Linked DNA regions of Xenopus tropicalis. The protein of the gene in region 1 interacts with the protein of each later gene in a pairwise test. Links are inferred from orthologs where the notes say so. Each region holds a gene or a part of one and is shown on either strand. Other genes may lie near its edges.

Region 1 (4,398 bases):
CATATTAACCTCTTTGGTTCTCCCATTAGGTTACTCTCTAATTTCTTCATCATTAATGGGCTCTAACACAAACTGAAAGGCTGTTTTCAAGTTTGGGTTTATGGCTTTGTATCTGATATTTAAACCAGTGGATGCACAGTTTGCCACAAGGACATAAAGGAGTAATTTGAATAATCTCTGCCTATAATATCCTTACATGAAGGTTGCAAATTCTCATTCTTAGGGGCAGATTTACTAATCCACGAATCCGAATCCCGAAAGGGAAAAAATCTCATTGGAAACAAAAATTTAGCGACTTTTTCGTTGCCGTCGTGATTTTTTGTATTTGCCGCGACTTTATTGTATGTTGTGCGTCTTTTTTGTCGCCGTCACAATTTTTTCATATTGAGCGATAGTATACGGCGGAAAAACCAATCCGATTTTTTCGCAATGGTGACGAAAAAGTAGCGGAAAATATACGAAAAAATTTCGGGACCTATACCAAAAAGTCGCAACGGCGATGAAAAAGTCGCAAAAAATACCGATCATTACGAAAAAACGCATTTGGACCGTTCGTGGATTAGTAAATCTCCCCCTTAGTCTTGAGGCAAAGGGACATGGGTGCACTTGTAGCTCTTTAATAGATGGGCAAAAGACCCAGAATCCCTACTCATTCAATCTAATGCTACCTGTGGGTCTAGGCAGTCAGCTTTTCTTATCTCCAGATCCTTGCATATACTGTGCAGCTATTAAAAAAAAGTAAAACTTGAATTATACCACTGCCTTTAAAGCAGGGGTGGGCAAAGTTTTTGACTCGGGGGCCACATTTACTCACAGGCGGGCCAGGCCGGACCAACGTCCTCCCCCCAGCTCCCCCCCCCCCACCAGCATCCTCCATCTCTCCGACCTGCAGCTCCCTCCATCGTTCCGCTGCGTCTGTTCCCCGGCTCCCAGCTGCATCCTTTTTTATGGTTGCGCCCCCTGCGCACAAGCACGCCTAAAGCTCAACCAATCAGGGCCCATAAATTATTTAAAGGGACCCGGAGTCTGCGGGCCGGATTAAAAAGGCAAACGGGCCGGATGTGGCCCGCGGGCCGTAGTTTGCCCACCCCTGCTTTAAAGGATGAGTATACTGTCTACTTTTTCATCCTATTTATTTAATTAATAGGGCTGGTGCAGAACATTTCTTTGCATATTGTATGTTTTTGTCATTTCTTGGATTATACAGGGGAAAGTTTGAAATTGATTGTAGTCACATTCTACTTCCTAGAGTCCAATCAAAACAAATCACCCACGTCCACTCAGTACCTGTCCTCTGTATAAACAAACCCTTCCCCTGGCTGCAGCCTGTTAGGCTTTCATATAATAATCCGCTCATTATTCAGAGGTCACATTAATACACTGCTCATTTTCAGAAGAAACTTTGTTCAGCACCAATCCTAATCCACTGTAATATAAATGGATGTTTACTGCCCCCTTTATGGCAATGCTGTCTGCTGAATAAATTGTGTGACTACTATAAAGCAGTATCTCTGCTTTCCAGCTCCTTTTATACCTCCCCATTTTAAACTCTGGCACAGATATATAAAAAGAACCCCGCAGGGACATCATGTACTTTCAGTACGCCCCTTCGGTGCGTGACAGCAGCGCCCTTTCCTTTTACGCTTTTGCCAGTCCCAACATGGCCGCCTGGTTCACGTCGTTCTGACGCGCCTCTCAGGTTTCGGAGTCATTGTGCTGTTTCCTGCCCCGCACTGAGCTGAGGAGGAAGAGGAAGCGAGGCGCATAGTGACAGAGGGGGTGGACACAGGTGAGCGGAGATTTGTTTCGTCTGTACCGAAATAGTCATGTGCGTGCGTATGTTTTATAGCGGAATATTTATTGTGTGGAAATGTGTGTTCTCTCTATAGCCACACAGGCGAAAAATGTAATGAGTGTGAATTGATTCTCGTATATCACTGTCCTATGGAGCCACTGCTGGAAGACTTTGCAGTAAATCGCAGATCCCAGTGTGCAGCAGTACGACAAAGTCGGTGTCGTTGTTAGCATTTTGCCGTTCCTGAATGTATGTGATATGGCTCAGGGCATCGCCTTTAGTTTCAGGCACTATTCCTGCTCACTGTCTGCCAATGAATCTGTAAATCTGGGTGATGGAGGTGCTGCTCAGTTAGAGGTGTCGGTCACCAGAAAATCAGCTGTTATTATTATTATGGTGCAGGCGGTGCTACTCTGTGTGCTGATTTGCTGCAATTCAGATTTTTCGGTTGGCAGGAGAGGTTGTGGATTTGTCCCAAATCCTAGTTTAGTTTAAAGTTGATACTGTGGTTTTATTCAGTTTTTTTTCTCATTTTTAATACAGTGATCCAATTCAGTTTCAGTATTTGGGTTATCTCTACATTATGGATTTGGTTCATCCCTAGTTTTTGCCATTAAGGTAAATCTGCTTCTTGTCAAGATTTGAAGATTGAGGATTTAGACAGTGTTGTGACTTAAAGGGGAACTGTAGATTTCAAACCAAAATTTGTAAAAGAGCCTTACATAGAAACCTCCCAATATACCTGTCTATTAATCTATTAATCTATTCATTCCAAAAGTATGAATAATTGTCTTTTTTTTATCTACTGGAATCTAGCTGCAAAACAGTTTCTGCATCATTTGAAATCCTGCCAGAGGAGAAGGGACTAAAACAGGGGTGGGCAAACTTTTTAGCTCAGGGGCCACATTAATTAACATACGGGCCGGACCAGGCCGGGACAGCGTTACGCCCGGGGCTGCCATAAAAAATTATGGGGCCTCTCAGCTCCCCCCCAGCGACCCGCTGCTTCCTCCATCCCATCCTTCTGTTCCCCGGCTCCCCAGTGCATTCTTTTATATGGTTGCGCCCCGTGCGTGCTGACGCTGTGCGCACGCACGGGGCGCAACCAATCAGAGCCCGTCATTCTTTTAAGGGGGCCGGAGACGGCGGGCCGGATTAAAAGGGCTGATGGGCCGGATGTGGCCCGCGGGCCATAGTTTGCCCACCCCTGGACTAAAACATTGTAATTGCAAATGTAACAATATCCCCACAGTTTACAGACCGCAAGCAGGAACTACATATCCCACAATGCACTGCACTGTGATGTTCCATTCCTAATTACCATCACATGTGCAGGGGATTGTGGGATTTGGAGGATGCAGGCTGAAGGCAAGATGAGGACAGTCTCCTACTGTTAAATTTTATTTGAGTCTCAAAGTAGCAAGATCAGCAGGAGAACAGGGGGATTGGCATAGGTAGCTGTTCTAAACCATATTATTACATAATTGTAATAATATGTGTTGGGGTAGAGTTACCCTTTAAAAAAACTATAATGAAAATGTTTTTATTATGTCCTCACAATCTTCCCTTTATGTTCACCGCCCACAGGTCTGAGGTTGCATATAGGCATTATAACTAAATATGATTCTTTAGGGTGTGTCTTTCTGGTGCAATTAGTTTGTTTTGCATTGGCATGCAAACTATGCCAGGAAGAGAATAAGCTCTATTTTATATATCGGCTAATAAAATAATATACCATTTCTCCCCGTGTCAGCCGCTGTCCCTCTCGGGGAGAGATGTAGTTCCATTGGGCCTGTTGATAGAATTACAATTGGATATGTCTTCTGTGTAAACAGATTTTCTGTATAGTGTACCCACTTTTCCAGTGTGTTTTTCTCTGTATATAAAAAGATCTGTGCAAGGTTTTCTTGTTCAAGCAACAATTTTTATTGGGCAGTATGCCCCTTTATTAAATATGAATTTTAGTGAATAGGGCTTGTGCTATACAGGTATGGGACCGGTTATCCAGAATGCTTGGGACCTGGGTTTTCCGCATAAGGGATTTTTCCGTAATTTAGATCTCCATAACTTAAGTCTGCTAAAAAACATTTAAATATTGTATAAACCCAATAGGATTGTTTTGCCTCCAGTGCACTTGTTTTGCCTCATTGCACTTATAGTAGAACCCCCATTTTACTTTTTTTTTAAGGGACCAGAAAAAAATGATGTAAAATCCGGGAAATGTATTATTTATTGGTGGGACCACAGAAAACATGAGGGGAGGCAACTCCATACTGGGAAGCACAGTGAGTTTCTCGCTGTTGGTTGTGAAAATAACTTTCTGCAATCTTAGTTGCTAATCATGGCTTCTGCCATTAACTGTAGAGTTTTTCCGGCACTCTAGAAAATGTTTTCTTCATCAGAGAACAGAATTATTTCTCCCTAGATATGTTTTCTTATGTCCCTCAGAAAGTTAAAAAAAGACAACTTGTATTGTGCATCATCTTGCAACAATTTTTTTCCCCGCTTTTCCGCAACATTCTAAAGAAGTTCAAAGGCTATTAAAGCAGGGTCCAAAAATAGTCTGCAGTGTCCACCTAGACCTGAGAGAATCTTATGTGGTA
Region 2 (3,651 bases), on another chromosome or scaffold:
TGGCAGAGAGCCAGATGCAGCCATCAAAAGAGCCACATCTGGCTCCCGAGCCATAGGTTCCCTACCCCTGAGCTAACCTATTGTTTCTCCTACTCCTATGATACCTACTGGGAGCTGCTATCTTGCTCCCTTCCCATTGTTCTGCTGATCGGCTGCTGGGGGGGTGGGGGGGGGAATATCACTCCAACTTGCAGCGCAGCAGTAAAGTGTGACTGAAGTTTATCAGAGCACAGGTCACAGGGCTGTGGCACTCTGGGAAATGAAGAATATGGCTAGCCCCATGGGAAAAACAGATTACAACGCAGGATTCTGCTGGAGAAGCTCTAATAACTGATAGGTTTTTTTAAAATACATGTTTTCCTATGACCGTATTCCTTAAAGTCACATGACACCATTTTGCTTTTTTAGAAAAAAATCAGTGAAATCGAACAGAAACTGAGAGAGGAGGAGCATCAGCGCAAACTTGTGCAGGAAAAAGCAGCCCAGGTAATAATACTGTTTGCTCTTCAGCTTGCGATCCTGTCTGAAACTTGGTGATCTCATTACTGTATGTTGTTGTTATAGTATAAAGGCAACTGTATATGGAATGTGTAAATTTAAGTAGCTCAAGGGTAAGCCAAATGATGTAAAATCACTCTGCTCTTTTGCCTGCAATAGCTATATATGTGTAGTGCAAGTGACTGCCATACTTCCAATCGTCAGTTACCTGATTATAGGTGGACAAGCACAGCAGGCAGTGGGGGGATTTGGTACCAAAATCAGGTTTTTTATGCTATTGCCTTAACAACATTAATGTGATTGCAATAAGAAAGCTTATCAAAACAGTGAATGGAACTTGTTTCAAAACAATACTAATAAATAATAAATATTTAGTTGCCTAACAGTGCATTAATAAGTTGGTAATATGAAATACAAATGATTAGATGATTAATACATACCATGCCATTTGCAATGGAACTTGGCATAACCGGACCAGTTTTGTCATAAGTTACTCTCAGCACATTCTACAGGGAGGTGCCTAATTTAGTTTATTTCCGTTTTTGTATAAATAAATACATTTTTATCTAAAATATTTTCTTTCCTCCAGCTCCAAACAGGGTTGGAAACCAACAGAATTTTGCTCCGTTCCTTAACACCTCCATCAAAACAAGTGAAGGCAAAAAACATAAAGTCACTGCAGCTGGAAAAGGTATTTGGTCCTTCCGTGCTGCTAGTATTCTTTGTGGGCCTACCTAGAGTTTGGTTCTAGTGCACCCTCTTTGCTCTTTATTTATATGCTGTGTTCTTTCTTCTATTCCAGAAACCCACCTTTTCCAGTGTTTCACACTTACAGCCCCACTATCGCCTGAGCTTAGGAGATGTGCCCTTTGTTGCTGGAAAGGTAGGTATTAAAACCTTAGTCTTAATTTTTTCGATAAATTTTCTTTTAGGGAATCCATTTCCTATTTGATGCCCTTTTACATGTGCTTACGTAACCCAAGCTACCTTTTAAGAGAGCTGTACATTTGACAATGGTTACTCAGCAAGGCTGAAACTGGACACACTGAGTGGCAATAAATGTGGTACTGAGGGTTGGACGTTTTCTGGCCAATGTGGTGGAGGGCCGATAATGGAAGCCAGTTTTGACTACCCCCTTTTTTTACACTGCACCCACTTCAAACCACACCCATGTTATCACAAGAGCTTTTAAAACCATACCCACAATAATGGTGGTTGCGCAGCTAAAACACAAATAGTTTGTACTTACTGCAGGGATATCACTTATCACTCATACGTGAAAGAAGATTAATATGTCATATTAAGCCACACTCTTAGCCACTCCTCCCCTGTGGGTACCACAGAAAGGCACATAATTACACACCTAGGGATCCCATGACAACTATTTCCAGATGCTAATAAACTCCCAGAACAAAGCCCTGCCAGATTCATCTCTGACGAGCAGCATAGGGCAGGCAGGGTATGGCACACACAGGCAGGGTAGGGCAGGCAGAGTATGGCACACACAGGCAGGGTAGGGCAGGCAGAATATGGCACACACAGGCAGGGTAGGGCAGGCAGAATATGGCACACACAGGCAGGATAGAGCAGGGAGGGTATGGCACACAGGCAGGGTAGGGCTGGCAGAGTATGGCACACACAGGCAGGATAGAGCAGGGAGGGTATGGCACACACAGGCAGGGTAGGGCAGGCAGTGTATGGCACACACAGGCAGGGTAGGGCAGGCAGAGTATGGCACACACAGGCAGCATAGGGCAGGCAGAGTATCACACACACAGGCAGCTTAGGGCAGGCAGAGTATGGCACACAGAGGCAGGATAGAGCAGGGCAGGAAGAGTAGGTGATGCGACAGGGAAACCTGCAACTGGTCATGACCACTTCAACAAATAAACAGTTTGTACTGTACAGTGACACAATGCTAGCACTGCTCCTACATTCTGTGGGCCAGATGCTGGCAGTTGGACAGTGCCGCACTAGATTATAGAGCTCTCTATAAGCATATAGAATGTGTCTATTGTCTTTTTGCACATGTGTTTATTTTGATATTTTTGGTTCTAGTCCACAGGCACTAGCTATTCCGTGAGAGCCAATGTCCAGCATGTCTTGCACCTGATGAAGCAACATAATAAACTCTTGTGCAATGACCGAGTTGTGAGCGATCAGCCTGTTGAAAGGAAAGAGAGTGCAGTAAGGTGGACACCAGACCCAGTTTTATCTTCTCGCTCTTACCAAGACCTTTCAGAGGTTTTGCTCACACTGGAGGATGAGTTTGGGCAGATGAGTTTGTAAGTTGTTTCAGAGCTTCAATATTGAACTTTAAGCACATCATCTGCATTATGATGAATCCCTTTCCTCAGTTTAAATGGTTAATTTAAAAAAGGCTAGAGCCCTTGCAGGGGGAATATGCTCGTCTGTGCTTGGCAAAAGAGGATTCTGATAACCAGAATCCATGGGACCCACAGGGCTCTCTGGGAGATGGGCCCTTTGTAGTGAGTTTGTAAAAGGTTTGTGAGGTTAATGACATGATGCTGGATCTGTTGAGGTAGCTCAGAACTTGCACAGCAATCATCCCTGTTATCATAAAAGCTTGGTTAGACACTTTGCTAAAAAAAAAAAAAAAAAAAAATCGTGCATTTGCATGAGCAGCATATTGGCCAAATATTGGGCAGATCTCTTATCAGACAGGTGAGAAAATCCCCTTGGGTGAGGACCACATCAGCATACTGGTGAGATCCTCTCCCAACAGGAAGAGACCTAGATGCAAGTCCCTAAAATTTCCTGCCAAGACTTGCAGAGTCCCTTAAAGGAGAATGAAAGGTAAAGTAAGCTTTATCAGAAAGCTCGCAGAAACGCTGCACTGAGTCCTCTTTTAAAAAAAAAACAGGATTTCTTGTCTCCTTTTTTGTAAACCTGTTCTTAGGGTATCTGACTTCCTCTCTTAGAAAAATCCTTCATTCCTGGGGCCGAAGTCTGCACACTTCTCTCTCACCCTTCAAACTGTGCTGTAATCTGAGCTACCAGCAGCTAGAGCTGCAGCACGAAAGCTACTGAGACCAAGCTAAAATGTCAGCTGATAATTATTAGTAATGTTTGTTCAAAATAAAATCTTATTTAAAAAAAAAATGGCAGCTGCTATCTTAAACAAACAGATGG
Region 3 (3,651 bases), on another chromosome or scaffold:
CTCTAAGAAAAGGCAGAAGCTAACTAGGTGCTGATACAGCTTGTAGCACGTTCCCGCCAAAGGCTGCTATTGAAGAGGCCAGAACATCTAGCATGTAAAACTTGGAAAAGGTAGGCAAGGAGCTTCGAATAGCAAGCTCGTAAACAGCATCTCCTGACCTCTCAAAGTTCATGTCATGGATTCAATTTACAACTTATACATCTGTAAAACAAGTGGATTATTTCTTTCAGACATAGCAAGAAGAAGCATGAACATTCACCTTCACCTTCACTTGTATTTCTCTTGCAATTTATTAGATGAGTTCAGCTCTATAGATTCAGAGAACATTTCCTTCGACTCACAGCCTTGTGGTTTAGAAGAACCTTCCAGACAACCTGAGAAAATAAAAAAGTATCTTAAGAGATATTTTTCCACCTTTGAGGAAGAACAAATAACCATGTCTAAAGCTGATAAAGGGTTAGACAACTCTTCCAAAAAAACTCAGTTGCCAATATTGTTGAATGTGGAATGGCAGTAACCACAAAAAAATCCAGCATTCTTCACAAATTTTTCAATATATACCCAACATTCCACGATTACAAACATTGGCATAAAATTCCAAAGGTAGATCCAAGAACCAATGGATAAAAAAAATATATTCTGCTCTTAAGTGAGACTTTCAAAACACAGCAGCCATTCTGAGGCCAGAAATTGCATCTGCTGCAGTAGTAAAAATGGATAAATACTGGTGTCAAGAGTTTTTGACACACCCTTACACATCACCTGAACAATTTACATCTGTGTTAGAAAAGATTATATCAGCCCTGTCCTTAGCAAAAGCAGCTGTTGATGTTTCTAAACATTCAGTCATAGATTCAGCAGCGTCCATCACATCATGCAGAGCACTTTGTTTATGCCAGTGGTCATGTGAGACAGCATCAAAGTAAGAACTTACTTCACTTAAAGGGTCATAACTCTTTAGCCCAGAACTAAAACAAATAAGTTATTAAGTTGGTAGCAGCAAAGATGCCTTTTTTGCCACAGAGGAAAACAACCTAATAAGGATAGAATTACCACCACGCACTGCAAATAGCAGACAGCAGAGAAACTCTAGATCCCAGCCTCAGACACATTCCAATAGGAGATTCAAGTCCACTTGACAGAGCTAATCTAAACCTACCCCACAAACCTACTTCAGTCAAATGTCAGGACTTTAAAAAAAAAAAAAAAAAATCCACCTATGGTATTCCCTTCACCAAAAAGCCTCCGGAAGACAGATTTGTGCCATCTTCCATAGCTTTGTACCCTGCCAAGCAGAAAGGCATATTCTTCATCACCCATGATCTACTAAAAAAGTAAAATCTCAGGTGCCCACTTTGGATTTTACTCAAACCTGTTTATAGTACCAAAAGAAGATGGCAGGTTCTGTCCTGTGCTCAGCCTTCACCCACTGAAAAAGTTTGTAAGATACGAACGACTCAAGATGGAATCTATTCCAACAGTTATAGAGAGTCTCTGATCAATAGTCTTCATGTCCAGAATTAGACATCTGGGATATGAGCACCAGGACCAAATGGAAAAGACTCTCGGGTACTGAGAAAGCTAGGTTCAGTTTTAGCATGGCCTCTGTTTCTGATATTTTCAGACTTTCATCTGATATGGTCCTGTGGATTGGAGGAAAACTGATAAATGGCATTATGCGCAGTAATCAGTGTGGCATTATGAAGGGCAGGTCATATCAGACCAATTTGATGGTCTGATGCTTTTTATGATGAGGTTAGTAAGAAGCTGGGCAGTGGGGTTGCAGTAGATGTAATCTATTTGGATTTTGCCAGAGCATTTGATACTATGATAAAGACAGTAAGGCCCCATCTAGAATATGCTGTGCATTTTTGGTCTCTCATGCTGTAACGGGATATTATTCAGTTAGGCTGATGCCACACGTGGCGTTTTTCCGCTGCGTTTTTTCTCACCCTAAAAACGCCGCACAACCCACACAGCCCCTGACTATGGGGTTTTTCAGCCTAGTACTGGTGACGTAAGCAAATCCCGTTTCCATGGTGCTAATAGTGCGAAATAGCAAAAAACGCTGCATATTTCCGCTAGGTCTGGCAGCTGCCTTTGCGTATTCATAGGAATAGCTTGCTTTGCAAATACTGGCGTATTTCGGCCTACGCTTGAAAAATCCATGCTAAGGCGTTTTCTAGCGTATTTCCGCATTGTGTGGTTTTCTTCGAGTCTTTTCAAGCTATTTCTATGGATGATGATATCGGGTGCCATATCGTGTGCCATACACAGCATAGGGCAGAGAGAGTATGGCACACAGGCAGGGTGGGGCAGGCAGAGTATGGCACACACAGGCAGGGTAGGGCAGGTAGAGTATGGCACACACAGCCAGCATATGGCAGACAGAGTATGGGACATACTTACCCTACCAACCTGTGTGTGCCATACTCTGCCTGCCCTTTGCTGCCTGTGTGTCATACTCTGCCTGACTTTTGTTGCATGTGTTTCCATACAGGGGGTGAACAATGCAGGAAATAAAAGGTCTGAACAGTACAGGGAGTTACATGTTTAAAAAATTCAGGGGTTTACAGCCTAAATCTGATACGTGAACAATGCAGGGAGCAGTAAATCTCAGTAGTGATATCATTTAAATCTTACACAAAGGTAAGGTATATTGGAAGGGATAAAAAACCTTTTGCTCAGAGCATGTTAAATAATGTGATTTAAAGGGTTCAGGTTCGGTTTAGCTGAGTCCTGTTGAAAAAGGCTTAAATTCACCCAAATCCAGCATTCAGTGAATTTCTAATATATATAAGCTTATTTATATATATTTTTCAATTGTTTACCTTACAACACTGCTGCAGCTAAATTAAGTTAAACATCTTATGCCAGTTACCATTACTAAGTTATTAAGTTTTTCATCCTTTTTTCCACTTCTCAATCTAAGCTGGGGATCAAACTACTGATGTAGGGTTTACAAGTTCACCAGCAGAAGCTCCTCCTAGCAAATCGCCTTCAATGCCATCCTTGAACCAGACATGGCCTGAGATGAACCAGAGCAGTGAGGTAAGTAAAAATTGCAGGTTGTGAATGGATAATCTTTAAAGGGATTCTGTCAGGAGTTTTATGGTAACATTTTTATTACTGTTATAATATTGTTGTGAAGGTTTCCATCTCAGTGCATTTCGCCTGGTTTTGGTTTTCAAAAGGAGCCAGCACTACACAATAGAACTGCTCTTAGATCAGCTATTGTTTCTCCTACTGAAGTAGTCATGAGTCTTTCTACCTTCCCATTGTTCTGCTCATGGAGGAAAATGGAAGGAGGGTGATAGCACTCCAATTTGCAGTGCAGCAGTAAAAAGAGACTGAAGTTTATGAGAGCAGTCATATGACTGAGGACCACCTGGGAAACTAAGAAATATGTCTAGCCCCATGTCAGATTTCAAAATTAAATATAGAAAAAAAAAATCTGCTTGCTCTTTCTAGGTGGAGTCCCTTTCCTACCAGATGTATTAAAGCTCATTTAGATAACTGATTCCAGTGCAAACAAAGACTTCAGCAAAAAAAAATCCTGCATGCAGAGAGACAGGATTTCTGGTTATCTTCAAAAACTAAGCTCTAATATATCCTCTAGGAAGCTCACCAAAGGCTGCATTTTGCCTAATT

Evidence for each region. The genes of interacting proteins can lie anywhere in the genome.
Region 2: the proteins of ralbp1 (region 1) and cep57 interact in binary tests that used the Homo sapiens proteins (3 or more experiments, as listed by UniProt). The two-hybrid records come from large-scale screens. The link is inferred for Xenopus tropicalis from reciprocal best matches to the Homo sapiens genes RALBP1 and CEP57.
Region 3: the proteins of ralbp1 (region 1) and reps1 interact in binary tests that used the Homo sapiens proteins (3 or more experiments, as listed by UniProt). The link is inferred for Xenopus tropicalis from reciprocal best matches to the Homo sapiens genes RALBP1 and REPS1.

What each region holds. Positions count from the first base shown.
Region 1 is NC_030682.2:104,585,219-104,589,616, forward strand, and holds the start of ralbp1 (ralA-binding protein 1), read left to right. Parts: upstream 1-1,595; 5' UTR 1,596-1,828; intron 1,829-4,398. UniProt on the Homo sapiens protein: Multifunctional protein that functions as a downstream effector of RALA and RALB. As a GTPase-activating protein/GAP can inactivate CDC42 and RAC1 by stimulating their GTPase activity.
Region 2 is NC_030678.2:164,700,263-164,703,913, forward strand, and holds part of cep57 (centrosomal protein of 57 kDa), read left to right. Parts: intron 1-408; coding exon 409-486; intron 487-1,087; coding exon 1,088-1,189; intron 1,190-1,300; coding exon 1,301-1,381; intron 1,382-2,556; coding exon 2,557-2,783; intron 2,784-3,651. UniProt on the Homo sapiens protein: Centrosomal protein which may be required for microtubule attachment to centrosomes. May act by forming ring-like structures around microtubules. Mediates nuclear translocation and mitogenic activity of the internalized growth factor FGF2, but that of FGF1.
Region 3 is NC_030681.2:62,705,366-62,709,016, reverse strand, and holds part of reps1 (ralBP1-associated Eps domain-containing protein 1), read left to right. Parts: intron 1-2,932; coding exon 2,933-3,051; intron 3,052-3,651. UniProt on the Homo sapiens protein: May coordinate the cellular actions of activated EGF receptors and Ral-GTPases.